Lepisosteus oculatus: one gene and its partner. The protein of the gene in region 1 interacts with the protein of each later gene in a pairwise test. Links are inferred from orthologs where the notes say so. Each region holds a gene or a part of one and is shown on either strand. Other genes may lie near its edges.

What was found. The genes of interacting proteins can lie anywhere in the genome.
Region 2: the proteins of usp13 (region 1) and trim55b interact in a two-hybrid assay, tested with the Homo sapiens proteins (2 studies listed by BioGRID and IntAct). The link is inferred for Lepisosteus oculatus from reciprocal best matches to the Homo sapiens genes USP13 and TRIM55.

Annotation. Positions count from the first base shown.
Region 1 is NC_090708.1:1,728,241-1,736,218, forward strand, and holds the start of usp13 (ubiquitin carboxyl-terminal hydrolase 13), read left to right. Parts: upstream 1-4,971; 5' UTR 4,972-5,061; coding exon 5,062-5,172; intron 5,173-7,978. Other genes in the region: ndufb5 (NADH dehydrogenase [ubiquinone] 1 beta subcomplex subunit 5, mitochondrial), read left to right, coding at 1,119-1,225, 1,593-1,713. UniProt on the Homo sapiens protein: Deubiquitinase that mediates deubiquitination of target proteins such as BECN1, MITF, SKP2 and USP10 and is involved in various processes such as autophagy, endoplasmic reticulum-associated degradation (ERAD), cell cycle progression or DNA damage response.
Region 2 is NC_090701.1:51,231,635-51,238,909, forward strand, and holds the start of trim55b (tripartite motif-containing protein 55b), read left to right. Parts: upstream 1-4,258; 5' UTR 4,259-4,487; coding exon 4,488-4,652; intron 4,653-4,831; coding exon 4,832-5,004; intron 5,005-7,275. UniProt on the Homo sapiens protein: E3 ubiquitin ligase that plays an important role in regulating cardiac development and contractility, muscle growth, metabolism, and fiber-type differentiation.

The DNA.
Region 1 (7,978 bases):
TCAGGATTGTTCTGCGAGAAACCCTGCAACTCTGCCGTCTTTCCTGTTAGATTTGAGATGCAGTCAGGCCGGGGCTGATTAATGCTTCAGAGTCCTCATAGTAAGGAAGTGGTCCTAGTGTGCCAATAGGTGGCACTCTCCCATCTAGACCAGATTTCCAAACTCTCTGAAGTGATATCATGTCAAAAACGGGTCATTGTTCTGTAGGAAGTACCCCTTCAGTCTGAACCCGGGTCTCTGCAGTCCGAAATCCAGTCTGGAATTGGGGACCCCTGAGCTTGAAGGAAAATCGGAGGTTTTGTCAGGACCATGTTGGATATTGTGCAGTAGCAGGGATATTAATCCCCAGTTTGGAGACCAAATATAAAAGGGTTACAAAATCTGTAATACCTGAAGTCCACATCTGTACCTTAATTAAGGTTGATGTCTGTATCCAGCCTCCCCTAGAGACCCATACTAACCAGGTCTTGCTCCGTGGTGAAAGAGGAGTTTAATTGTCACGGAGGATGTGATCGTGAGTTTCACTTTGCCCTGGACACGCCCATGAGGCAGCGCGGGTTGGCTCGGTGTGGTAAACAGTTCCACATGGGGGGTGTGTTGAAGGAATGAGTCTGCTAGTGATAATCTGCTTCGAGCCCCCAGAGTGGCTCATGCTGTGAAGGTGCTCACCTGTCTGCAGGCTGGGCCCCACGATCACGGGTTCGAGCCGGGGGTCACACCACCAGCCCAGCATGACTGGGATTCGCAGAGGGTGGGGTGGGACTGAGTCTGTGGGCACCACAGCGCCTCCTGTGGCCTCCTGGGGCGCTTGCAGGCCTGCGGTGCGGTCAGCGAGGGGACGTGCCTCCTCCAGTCGGCACTGGCCCTGCAGGGCGGGGCGGTGCTGCCTGTGACGTGTTCAAACACGAGGGGCTCAAACGGCCGGGGGGGGGATCCCCCTGCTCTTCCTCACGCTCCCCCGTGTGCAGTCACAGGGCAGCTGGCGATTCTAAACTAGGCGGGCAAAACCAAATTAATCTCTGAAGAGGAAAGCTGACAGTCAGCTTGTAGATGGACCCGTGCAGAACCAAGAGGTTCCTCTGTCCAACGTCCCGGGTCTGTCCGTCTCTCTCCTTCAGCACCCCATCACCCGGTGGATCGTCCGGAACTTCTACGACCCGCCAGAGAAGGACTACGAGAAGATGATGGCTTTGATCCAGATTGAGGCGGAAAAGGCCGAGCTGAGGTCAGTGGCGGCGTGGAGACTGGGGAGCCCCTCCGCTCTCTGAAGCGGCTCCGTGGAGCTTGTCCCCCCTGCTCAGCTCGGCGAGGGGTCTGACTGAGCGGGCTCTCCCTTCTTTGATACTTCAATACTGCCCGTGACATCGAGAAGTAAAATCCCTGTAGCAGTTATTGTTTCATGCCCTTAGCAGACCCCTTGTCATCGTCCTTGTGTTTTGGGGGAGTCCTGGCTGACGTTGGTGTCTGTGTGTGATTGCGCGTGCCTGAGGGGGGCCCCTCGGCCCATCGTTGTTCCGGCTGTCCCGGCGGGGGGCGGGGGGCGGGGGGACCCACTCTCCAAGAGTAACGCGTTGCCTTTGCTTGCGCCACAGGCTGAAGCAGCAGGAGGTGCGCAGGCACATGCGCCAGAAGGGCGACGGGCCCTGGTTCCAGGTGGAGACCATGGACAAGCAGCTGATTGACTACTCCCACAAGGCCACGCCCGACAACTGAGGCAGCGCCGGCCTTCCGCGAGCCGCAGAGACCGCCGCCTGCTCGCCCGCTCGGCGGGGGCATGCCAGTAATTTATCCCCTGTATATGTTTGTATAATAATGCTCTGGCTTTAAATAAAGCCTTTTCAATGTTTCAGCTTTGTTTAAGAGTGCTGTTTAAAACTGTGATCCCCTGTGGTCCCTGTCCTGCTGACCCGGTTCTGCTCCATCCAAACCCTCAGGTCTACAGTCAAGTCTTCATTCACTTAATATGGGGCGGAGCGGTGGCTCTGTGGCTAGGGATCTGCCTGTGGCTGGAAGGTTGCTGGTTTGTTACCTTAATCCATTGAGCGCCTGAGCAAGGGCCTTAACTCCAACTGCTCCAGGGGCGCTGTATAAACGGCTGACCCTACCCTCTGACCCCCAGCTTCTCTCCCTGTCTGTGTGTCTCATGGAGAGCAAGCTGGGGTCTGCGAAAAGACAAATTCCTAACACAAGAAATTGTATACGGCCAATAAAGTGATCTTATCTTAATAGTTAATTTGAACTGTGTCCAACTCTTACACACATTCAAGCTTTAACCAACATTGCCTTTTTCGAGAGATTTACATTCTCAAGCTTGTGACTACTAACAACACGCCAATGTTGAACTGGAGCAGCTCCTTGTTGATCCAGTAAGGCCTCAGTTATCTGCTGGAGGTGGGAGGGACTGAAACCCAGCAGGTGTGGGGCTCACCAGGACCAGCACTGGGATCTACTAGATTAAAGAGAGAAAACTATTCATTTTAAAAAGATTTAGAACGTTTCCTTTCATTTTTGAGCTGGTCATTTTTTTTTCTCCCAGGAAGTGATGGCAGTTTTGTCTTTGTGTTCTTAAGGAGATGGCCACCTGCTCTGCCCACATGTCTTTTGTCAATTAGATGTGATGCTCAGGGTCTATTACAGGGGTGCCCAACCTTTTTTTTTTAATGAAAGATTTACTTTTTCATGTGCCAGTCCCGCGCGAACTACCAGTGTGAATTTGAAGCTCTGATATAGGAAAAACAGACTGTGGACACATCAGTACAATAACTATACCCATCACTAAAATGACAGCAATTAAAAGCAAGTGACTCAGGCTACAGTGAACAAGTCATGTTCCCCATTTTAGAAAAAAAATATCCTACCTTCATGTCAGCATTGACACTGAGAAGCTTACTTGAGGACACTTGTAATCGTTTTTTTGAGCGTGTTGACACTGCTGATCGTGTCGAAGACACTTTTATTGTGTCCCTGCAGCTCGACATTCAGCTCATTCGGCAGTTCAGTCAAGTCTGGGAGGACTGCTAAGCCCAGAAGCCACTGGTCGCCCTCTCATTGGGCACATTCACCGTGTTTAGACTATTTGAGAAACTCTCATTTCAGGCAATAGCTGTCTGTCTGTGAAATCTCCAAACAGCAAGTCAGCAGCAGCGATGATTGCTGGTTTCCCTCCAGTGTTAGGCCACGTTAAAACCAACTGCCGCTAGTTGAGATTTTAATTTTTCAACTTTTTTCCGTAACTCACTTTTAGTGGGGAAAGCACACATCTTACATTTTGTGTGCAGTTTTGAAATGTGGTTCTCTTGTTTCCCTTTTTCGCGTAGACGCTAGCTTTGCAGATTTGAATGCGAAAGTACAAAAAAATAATCGCGCCCCCATTCCTCGTGGTGAGGGTAAGTCTTCGGGCTCTTTGCTTCATCGTATTCGCTCAAACACTACAACTATCATAAAAAGGGCAATCTAACTCCTCAAACTGTTGGCGAATTTGTCACGGCCATTTGTCTGGTTCGCTCCACCATGTGCTGTGGCGAATGTGGGGTTCGTGCAGCAATAGCCAAGGGAGGGGTCTCGGGGAGCCCACCCAACACTACAGAGCACCTGTAGCCTTTTCTTCAGTGTGGGCCAGCACTCAGGGAAGAGACTCTTACAACCCATTCCACAAGGGTTAAGCACAAGCAAGGGCAGTAAAATGTATGACATTACATGCACAGATCTGAATGAATTTTTAGGCTATCTAAAAAAGTAGTCAAATAGCCCATTTATTTGATACCACACATTCTTGCGATCGACTGGTTGGGCACCCCCTGGTCAATTACCCAAGAAATGCAAAACAGGCACTTAGAACTGATCTTTACTTTATCCGAGGAGAGCGACACTCTGGAAAGCTCGATAATCCAAAAAGATCATCATTAACACACAACTGAGTGAGAGAAGCCCTAAACCAGACTCGTGGTTGTGGCGCTGAAGCTGTGAGATGCTGCTGTCTGGTTGGTCACTGGCTTTCTTTGTCTGGTGTCCAAGACATTTCTGGGAAAGCAGTCTGCTCCTCTGTGTGATCAGCAGGAAACAGGTGAATATCGGGTCGGATGTGAAATTTTCATGCAGCTCGTAACAAGCCCTGTCCCCACGCCCACCTTGGACTCGACGTCTGATCCACCCGAGGTTCAGCAGAATCGATTTACACTTTCATATATGTTCGGTGCTTTAAAAGACGTGTTGACTTCAGGTCAGCCGGGTCCGAGGAAGCGGAGTCGATTCGGGGCGTGTTCGTCCAGTCCATCTGAAGGTCTGCTCTCTTTGGGGGGGCGTAATTCGCACAAAGGACAATCGGGTATTTAAGATAAAAAAAAGGTCGAACGCTGTTTTACAAAACACCTTATACGGGCAGGTCATCTTACCCCCCACCTCACGTGAGCTAATCGCTAATCAATGACCAGTGACCGCGATGAAGGAGTTAAAAAAATTGTAACATATCCTCCGTTAGAACCTCTTGCCTCTTTATAACCTTCTTACCTGCTTTATTCGTCGGGTTTCAGCACCGTCCGGCGCTGCTATATTGTATATTGTCGCATAACCCCGCCATGCGGAATTTGCAACCTCATCTGAGCGGTGACCAATTTCGTTTTGAAGCTTTAAAGGACCGTTTCCACGCCGCGGGCGGGCGGGCTTCGTCGGTTTTGTCACGCACCGTCGCCAAATTGATTACAAACGCCGAAACCTCGAGTCTCCTTTCAAACGACGCGCCTCCGCCGGGGAAGGTGGGAGACGCGGAATTGGGTAAATTGACAGTCGGCAGCGCCAAATTCACGGCGAAACAGAAATCGATGTAAACCCAATAGGGGGGTTAAGAAATACCGCCCGAGCACCTAATATATATATATACGTTCAATTTTAATCTCGCTCTCCTCCTCCCCCCTCGCTTCACAGCGTCACTCTCCCGGATCCTGCAGGAATGTCGGGTCTGTGTTCATTTAAAAATAGCATCATGTGCTAGCTGCTCTCCCAGACTTCCAGCTCCGTCTCCCTCGCTCGCGGTAGCATTCTGGGGCTGGAGGCAGGAATGCGAAGATGGCTGCAGACTTGGGAGAGCTGCTGGTCCCGTACATGCCCACCATCCGAGTCCCCAGGACCGGGGACCGGGTTTTCAAGAGCGAGTGCGCCTTCTCCTACGACTCCCCAGTAAGTGCTCGGCGGTGCCGCGCAGGCGGCCGTGCGGCCCCGCTGGACACACGTGAACCGCGCTGCGCACGGAGGGGGACCGGGGGTCCGTGTCCGTGTCCGTGTCCACCATTCTCTCGACCAGCTCGCAGCGCCGGCTGAAATAACTCACCCCGTCCTGCCCTCCCGGTCTCCCTGCCTTGAGCACTGCTAAGACGGCGGTTGTGCGATTCTCGGTTATCCCACCCCCCTAACAGTCTTTGGTTTTCGAGTGCGGGCACAGCTTTGAGTCCAAACTTCCTCCGCGGAGAGAGAGAGAGAGGGTTTTTCAGCACTGCCGCCGGAATGCGGTAGGGATCTGTAACTTCACGCATGCAGACTATAATGCGTTTTTTTTATTTTTGAGAGAGGCGCAGACAGCTTCCCCGAGTCGGTTTTGTTTTTGCTTTGTGATTTGTGATTTGACAGCGCCCTGCTCGTAAAGATTGAACGCTTTTCGAAAACGGGTCATCCGCAGCGCTTCTTCTGGGCTCAAATTTTCCTGGAGTGAGGGAGCCCCAAAGACGTGCCCGTTTCGTGTCTGGGCTGGCGAAACCCGCGTTCGCCTGCTCTTAGACGCGAAACAAGGCATGTGTTCTAGTTCTTCAGTATACAGCGGTGTAATGTCACCTTTTGTTGCAAAATGTCACGCTGAACATGAACGCTGAAAGGGACAGCATTTCCAGAGGAGCAAGGGAGGAGCAAGATTTAACCTTCAGGAACCACGTGTTGGGGAATATTAACCAAAACCAACACTTTATATAAGTCAGTTCAGTTTCTTGTGTTTTTAAGGACGTTGCCCTAACTTTCTATGTATTATTTTATAAGCTGGGGCAGATTTAAAGGTGACTCAGCTGTCAGGTACTCCTCATGTCGGCTGGAAAGCCTGGGCTATTTTTAATCTCTTTTTCAAATGGCTCATGTGTCGCCCACCCAACTCCATTAACCCTGGGGTCTCGTCCAGCTCGTCCAGCCTATCGCCACGAGGGACAGAAAGGAGAAAAAAAAACGATTGCGATGTTGTTTCCTTTACAAAAGAAACTTTAAAAAAAACTCGCAAGTCTTTTCTACCACAGGAGACTAGGACACATTAGAATAAATTAAGATGATTTCGGATGTATGGTGTAGTTAATTCGATAACTTCTCCTGTCCGGCCTTGTCTTGGTTACCAGGAGGGATTTATACTGAAACGCACATTACTGTGGGCTGTAAATCCTGTGGTAATCTGCTGAGGGCTTCACACCTGAGTTGCTGTTTTTTTAAATGTATGTTGTGGTTTCTATTGTAGGATTGAGCAGGTGCTCCTGGTTCTTTTTAAATGACAGGTGTTTCTTGGGTTTCGCTGAGATAAAAACATTCACAGTGGGCTGGAACAGATGTCTTGTAGCCACAACGTGTCCATGCGCTCATCCAGCCCTCTGGAAAAGAGTTGGTCAGGCACACTTTTCTGTTTTATAACAGGAGGACTGTTTTATTTCTAGAATGATTTAGGCACTTAAATCTCTGATACATATTCCTCTGCAGAATGAGGCACATTTACTGTCTAACTCAGCAAAGTTTCTTTGCATGTCAGCTGACTCTGAGCTAAGTGTTATGAGTTTTCATTCATCGTCCATCTGAAAATTTATCGATGAAGTCAACCCAGCAGACATCTTGAAAAGCGACCAGTGAAACCTGAATGGGTGCACCTGAGTGGAACTGTGAGTTTCCCCACTCTGATATTGAAGTTGGAAATGGCTGTAGCTCTGCTACATGGAAAATGGCTGAATTGATTGAATTAAGGTTTGACAACACCGACGTCTCCGCTTCTCAGTGGCCTTAAGCTGCTGATGAAGAGACAGAGGCGAGACAGGTTCCAGATTCCAGGAGGTTAAGTGCCAAACTAAACAGTTGGTCTTTCTTATAAATCTGTGTTGACTGTTTATTACAATCTGATTTCTAGACAGGTGATCCTCTCCTTTCGTTCTGAAACCATTTCCGTAACGTTTCATGTGCCGGGTGCTGGGTGTGGTGGTCAGTAATTTCCCCGAGTCAGTGTTTGTCACCCTCTGAGGGATGTGTGCTACGCTGCAGTACAGACCTTTGTCCTTCCGCTGCCGGAGGCCTGTTGTTGACGTCTTCTTCAGTGAATACTTGAATGAAATGCTCATTTAGTACATCAAGTTTCAAGTTCAAGTTTCAAGTTTATTGTCATTACACTCATATACATGGTATATGGTATAACGAAATGCTATTTAGCTAGCTCTCGGACATAAGTAGTACAAAGAGAAAAACAACAACAACAACAATACAATTGTGTAGCAAAAGAAAGACAGAGACAACAGGCAGTGTGCAAAAAACAATAACAGGCAATGTGCAAAACAACAACAAGGTAACAGGTTATGTGCAAAAATCTGCATCAACAGAATAAAATAAAGGGATAGAAATTAAATTACATCAGCCCCTGTCTAGAAGTTTCCTATTATTGTCTCGGGTATATTTTACTTCATCCTTGACATTTCTTTACCTGCTGTAACACTGAAGGAGCTCTTTATTCACCTTTTACTTTTTAGCTTCCATTAGAATATTCTTTTCAATTCTCTCTTGGCCTTTCTAATATCCTTTTACCCATGTGTTTGCAATTGATTGTGCTGCCTTACCTTAGCTAGATCCTGTTGTTTTTTTAATTGTTTCTCAGAGCACATTCTTTTCCTTTATTTTTCTAAGCCATTTGTTGAATCTTTCGGGATGGGATGTCATTTTTTGGCTCTTTCTCCAGTTCCGGGAGAGATTGAGTTCTGTGCTTGAA
Region 2 (7,275 bases), on another chromosome or scaffold:
TCCCCACTAATAGCTGATGTGCGGTGAGTGTACCGGCGCACTGTGGCACTGAGGGGAGCGCTTTGAGTGGAGTGTCCAGAAAGGCGCTATGTGAGTGTAAGAAATATTTATTAGGATAATTCTGTAAAATGCAGAAATGATAAAACAAGGAAAAACACTAAAATTTAGTTTAAAATTCGGGAATATAAATGGATTTTGTGTTTTCTGTGCTATGATATGTGAAATAAAAAGCTTGTGTCTTTATGATAAACAAAAAAGTGTAAGTCCATTAAACCGAGAGTTTACGGTATAAACATGTTCAAGAATCAGAAACAGATTGAATTATTTTTTTACACAAGCAATGTCCGAGCACAAGAAAAATTAAAAAGGCTCAATCTACTGAAAAGAAATCAAACCAGTGAAATGGCTTGGTTTAGCATTCAAGCCGCAATGAATACTTGAGATCAGCAGTTGTACCTGAATCGAAGTTACGGTAGGAAATTTAGGAAATTCAACGAGCTTCTTTGATAAATGTTGATTAAGGTATAATTAAAGAGAACAAGTTATTGTATTTAAAAAAAAAAGAAAAAAGTTTTACTCCTTCGAGCCGGATTCGAACCAGCGACCTAAGGATGTCAGTGTTACCGCTACAGTCCTCCGCTCTACCAACTGAGCTATCGAAGGGTCATGACTTTCTTCCCCTCAAAAACTAATCTTAGCTTAGAAATATGGTCATTTTACAATTTTATTGTATTTTATTGGGGGCAATCATATTTTTCCCATCCCCGTAATTAGAACCTAATTATTAGATATGAGGTGAGTTCAAACGCAGTGTGCTTTTATTTTGCCAGAACCACTGCGTCCACGACGTGACTCGGCCGGTTCCGTTCCCACAATCCTTTTCTTCCTTGAAGCCAAGAGTCTCTGCCTGAGCCAATCAAGACCCGCATCACTACCAAGACGTTTACCAGGAATTGACCAATCGCAGCGTCTGTTCTAACTCCTGCTCCTTTTTTTCGCCCAATCACAGCCCTCTCTAGTGCAAGGGCTCAGGTTTAGCCAATCACGTGTCTCTTCTGCTGTCCAAACAGGCAATGCGAGGAGTTCTGTTCTCTTGCGTGCTATGTGTACTGCGTTCTCCTGTTGAAAACAGTTTCTTATTTTACACAGTAATCGCGTCGGCTCGTTCTTTTATTTTTAATGTCGTTGTTGATTCTCCCGCGTTCTTTGAAATACAGTTTTTTTATTTTCAAAAGAACCCCCTCGTCTATTTTTTTCCAATGTTAGTATCTGCCGGCGTCTCCGAAGTATAATTAACATAGAGGAAACATCTGCTGTGTACTTCAAGAAAAGATCCACAGCTTTGTGTGTCGATGTAAAGATCTGTTTTATTTATTACGAATTGAGGATTAAATCGACTTTTTTGTATATCAACCCACTTATTGATTATACGTCTATGATCTTTATATTATTGACATTTTGCTTTCAAGTTTATTTTTTTATTGTTAAATGATCTTAATCTGGAAACTAACGTTTAAAAATTAACCTGGGCAGTCATCTGCCTGTACAAGAACTGATTTGGTACCTGGTATTGTCCGGGTACAGCAACGGTGTTTCTTCAGGGGTGGAAAAACGATAAATTGTCGAGAATGTGGTTAAAAGGGGGGAGAACTATCGTTTTTTTTCCTAATAAAGCGCCGTGTAATCCTGACCATCCTCAAAACACAGTCCATAAGTTATACATATAAAAAAAACAGTAAGCAGAAAAGAAAATAGCACTATTTATAAATCCATCCATCAATTTTCTAACTGCCTCATCCACGCAGCAGAGCCTACCCGAGAACACCATGGGCTCCAGGCGGGGTGCGGTCTTTTTTTTGGATTGCACTGAACCACGGGAATCAAACACTCAAACTTCGGGTTGCAAAATGCAAATACTAACCGCTTCGCCACCCCACCTTTCTCAGGTCATGGATTGTGTCGTAAACAATTCTTGGTCACCAAAAAGCCTATGGGCATAGATTTACACGATATCACGTATCCTTCAGACAAACGTGAGTTTTTATCGACACGTTCAGTGAACTGTTAAATTTGCCGTGAAAACAACAAAAAAAGCACTAACTATAACATAAATTTAGCTTAAAGACCACGTGTTATCAAAATGAGCAATTTTTAAATAAAGGTGGCAAATCCATCGACAATAAAATGTGAAAATGAATCACATCACCCGTACACACAACGTGTCGATGTCTTAAATATTACAGCAAAAATAGATGCTTACATTAATATTGAAGGCTGTGAACTGGATCTTGCGTCAAGATCCTGTATTTAACCTTACTTGTAAATTTACACTACTAAAGTCATCAAGTGCTGAAGAAAAGTCGGTGGGTGATATTGACGCAATGAAGCGATTTGATATCGTGTTACTTTTTATGCATTGATGATTTTTTTTAGTGGTTTGGTGGTGTTTGAAATTAAAACGAAAACATATTTTGGCAAATCAGTTTAGTTAACAAAAGTTGTGCATTGAGGGCTGAGTGCATATCCTTTGGGGACCGCACTAGATTTTTCTTCAAAGAAGAAATAGGACCAAAAAGGATTAAAATAGCAGGAAAAAGACAGCTGTACCGTAGTGGGGAATTAGCTCAAATGGTAGAGCGCTCGCTTAGCATGCGAGAGGTAGCGGGATCGATGCCCGCATTCTCCAAGCTGTTTTTTTTTTTACAAAATCTTCGCTCTCACAAGATACACTTTCACAAAATAACTTGATAATTTACACCATTTATAAATTCAAGGACCCAGTTCTCCACCTTTGCTTTTAGCCTGTTTTAGGGTTACCACACTTGATCATTCAAAAATGAGAACACTCTTTTGACGCGGAGGATTATGGTTTGGGGGCTGGTGGTATTTGTATCACTACTAAATCGAGTACTTCTTTACAAAAACCAACAGGTAAGTGAATTAGACAGCCCTACACCTATAATCAACACACAATCGCTATTGATCAACACTCTCCTAATCCGAAGCACCATTCGAATCGAGGATCTTTGGGGGAAAGAGTAATGGGGAAAAAAAAAACCTTTTAAAAATTCCTCTCGATAGAGATTAAAGAACCAAAAAGGAAAATTAGTCTGGAAAAAAACGGATACAGGGTAAACCGTTGTAATTTACGATCTTTCAGACAGTTTAAATTCGGGCGATTTGTTTCCATGCCGAGTCAGAAAGCACGAGGTAGCCGAATACCACAATACATTTTAAAAATAAACCTGAGAATCCCAGCCGTGTTCAAATTTATCCCAGCACCATCTGTGAAGCAACTAATTATAATAACATCTGCACTTAAACATTGAACACCAGCTCTAAAAGCTTCTGCATTGAGAGCACTTCGTCTCTTTATAATAAAAGATAAACATAACATAAAAACGGGAAAACAAAAACTTACATTGCGCAATATGTGTTTATAAGATACTTTCTAAATTAAAACAGGAATAAAAAGAAGAAAAACAGTAAAGACAGAAGGTCTGAAAATTCTGTTTTATACAAAAAATGAACCTATGTAGTGAAAAAGTATTGGGTGGTAAAGTATTTTTGATATTTAGGTTTTCTAAAATTAAAATTTGTAGTGAAACCAAAAAAAGGAATACAGTATAAATTAATTTTCGCTAGACCTAATGTTCTTTTAAAGATCGGGTGTTAGGAAAAATAGGATTTTGTACACAAAAGTATCAGTATTTATTGATGGGGCTGGGTATCTGATGGTTTGGGGTCACAAACTACACAATAACAATAACAGTTACAAGATAAATATTAACATAATAAGCACAGATTGACTGATTATGGTTGTTGAAGCCATTTACCAACCAAAGCAGAGCTGCAGCTGAATGAGAGTTTCATTTTTCAAATAACGGTTTTGATGACAATACCATACCTATTGTTGCCCTGAAATTTATTTGAGCAGTTTGAAAGACTGAATCCTCTTTGTTTGTTTTTTTTTTCTGAATAAGATGCCTTGTCTTTGGCCTTTAATTAGAGAAGGCAACGTAATGAGGAAGACATAGGGCAGTGTAGCGTATTCGAGCGTATTCTCGTGGTTTTAAAAAAGTTCCCGCACTGTGACCTCAGCTGTTGGTCTCCATAAAGTATGCGGAGTGGCTCTGTTTTCTTTGAACCCACAATGCTCCTTTCTGTCCCCTTCAGTGGCGGAGCAGCTGCCAGGATCTCTCCTCTTGTCGTTTTCATATATGGTCAAGTCAGCATGGCAACCTTTGACGTTGATGTTTCTAAAAACAGCGCCCTGACACTCAGCCGACCGCTGGCCATTAAGCAATGTGATCTGAGTGAAGATACTCTGAGGACGTTTCTTCAGACCCTGGGCTCTGCATTGTTACAAGGAAAGAACCTCCTCCCTCCCCCCACCAGGTACAACGTCGGCGAAACTTTTTTCCCCTCTTTTTTGGGGGGATTTTGCTACGTAAATCACCTTGCCTTGCGGTTCTTTGGAGTGCGCAATGAGTACTTCCCTGGAGCACTCGTATTCCAAAGAGAATCACACCATGGACAACCTGGAGAAACAGCTGATTTGTCCCATCTGTCTGGAAATATTTACCAAACCTGTGGTCATCCTCCCTTGTCAGCACAACCTCTGCCGGAAGTGCGCCAATGATATTTTCCAGGTAGGTGTTGTAATCAGCCTGGAATTAAACTTTGCATACTGTGTTGCTTTGTGTGCTTTTCACTCTAGGTCATTTAGTAAGAATGTCTGCAATTAAACATTGAATATGAAGAACATGTAGTGGGATTGCGGGATCATTTTTTTTTCTGTGCCCTTGTGTTCTGTTCCTGGTGGGTATAGGCCTCAAATCCTTACTTACCCACCAGAGCGGGCACCACAGTGTCATCAGGAGGCCGGTTCCGGTGCCCATCCTGCAGACACGAGGTGGTTCTGGACCGACATGGGGTATATGGGCTGCAGAGGAACCTTCTGGTGGAAAACATCATCGATATGTACAAAATGGAGTCCATCAGGTGAGCCTGCATTCGATGGAAATAATCATGCTACTGTACCGTATGTGAAGTCAGCTGTACTCACGCTCTGTTTTAGTCTACACTACGATCATAGCTGACTGGAGAATTTCTCTCTTTAGGATACAAAGACCTCAAAATGCGACATCGGTAACTGTGATGAGATTCCCAATTCCAAAAAGGCTGCATCACATGAACACAGCTGTGCAAAAGGCCTACCTTACATTCACTGTTGTGAGTTTCATGTCTACAAAATAAGAATTAGAATCACATTTGAAATCTTCTTTATGTTCCACATGCAGTAGATACTGTAATGCCCTCGCCTGGTGGTGAGGAGGAAGCGCTACAATATTTTCCTTTGACCTCACTGAGACACCAGGAGAATAAGTTGTTACGTAGACAAACTTTATCTCACTGCTTTTTAAAAAAAAAAACATTAAAATGTTTTCTTTTCTAGTATGCTGTTTATATTTGAAATGAGCTTTTTAAGAGCTATGTTTAAGAGCTTTTGTTTTAGTTCACAACCTTGTGCTTTTGCACAAAAAATTTCGACTCCATCAGGACTGCCCTCAAGAGATACTGTATAACAAATTGGCAGTTAAACAGAAATCTATCGTCTGTAATGTTGTTGCCTGTACAAGACAAAACCCACTGTAGTCATGATGTGAAAACTGTAGCACTGAGAAAGTTTCCCCCTACGTGCAAATGAGTCAGCAAAGCAGCATTCAATATCCGGACAGATCCTTCTTTTAGACAACCTTGCAGCTGTGATTTGGACACAAGCAGTGTGACTGAGGTCACACCTTTGATGGCAGGATGAAATTAAATCTCATAACTAACCGTCCGCACCAGGCTATATGGCACTGGTTGTCATTTTAGATTCTGCAGCCTCCCATATATTATGTGTTTACCAGAGTTGAGCATTTTTTTGTGTGAATTCTCCCACACAAGCAAAAAATGTATGGGCTGTCCCAATTTGTGGAGGAATCCAAATGCATTGGGCATTGAGCATCCTTTCTGATTATAAAAGCTGCCACTTCCTGATGTCCTTTTATGGGGCTAGATGGTAATATCAGCTGAGATCTAACTCTGCTGAAACTTTCCTATAGCTGATTCAGGTTACATTCAGGTGGAAAATGCAAAAAAAACTTCTTTATCACAGTGCCTGTAATAGGACCCAAGAGATTATGAATGGAAATGTGCACAGAACATCTTTGATTTATGTGGTCACAGATCCACACCGAGAGAAGTGTTTGTTTCTTTCTACCATGACACATTATATTGCGAAATTTAGTAGTAATATCCGTGATATCTTGAAAAATCACATTACTTGCACCTGTGTGTTGAACTAAGCAAGCAGAACTTGAATATTGCCCTCACACTTGTTTGGCTTGGCTGTTGCGATGAATATATTCTTCTGATGAGCAGGCTGGTTGAAGTGACTTGATCCCAAAGGACACAAGCTGTCTTAAATTATCAGAAGGGACATACAGTACTTGTCACCACAGGGTCTTTATTGGGCCCTAAAATTGAATTAATATACACTACAGCAGTAAAGTTACACCTGTTACTGTTAAATGTTTCAGGCACATTTGTGGTGATTACTTACATGAATATTAAGTGCTCCTCAGGTGGTTTGGATTCACTGACTCCTTTCCTGTCACTTAGAATTTTTCCTCATTTGCCAAGACTTTATTCCTAAAAGGAACATATTTCAACCAGAAAAGAGTAGCTCATCGATTTTTTAACTTATTTAGGTAAATTAAAAATTAAAAATGGCCCAGCTCATCAGTTGAAATAGCACAGTCAAACCTCATCTGGATTGCACCCAGATGGGGTGGGGATGGGAGACTTTTAGAACAAGACCACTCCACAAAACTGCACTTGAGGTCACGGAGCTATAATGTGTTTTGATGACTCACTTGGCAGGACAACCTTGGCAGTGGTCCCGGCAGATCTTCGCTCCCGGCTAACCTCTTCAGAGGGGCCTCTTGTGCCTGAGTTTGGATACACAAATTTCTCTTTACTGTTTGAAAGACAGCAATTATCTAAATAATAATAGATTTATGTTTGGGCGCTGAAGAGGCACCTGGAGCTTTTAAAACCACTCAGACTACCCAAGGTATTCCTGAGTGCCTTGTTCAGCCCCGGTGCTTTTGCTGGCTGAATCAGTTCCAGGACAAAAAGCATCAGTCAGGATTTTTCCGTATTATTTGCTAAAACAATTATTTCTGAACTGTATTAAATTGAATCATTTACGTCGCAGTATAATGC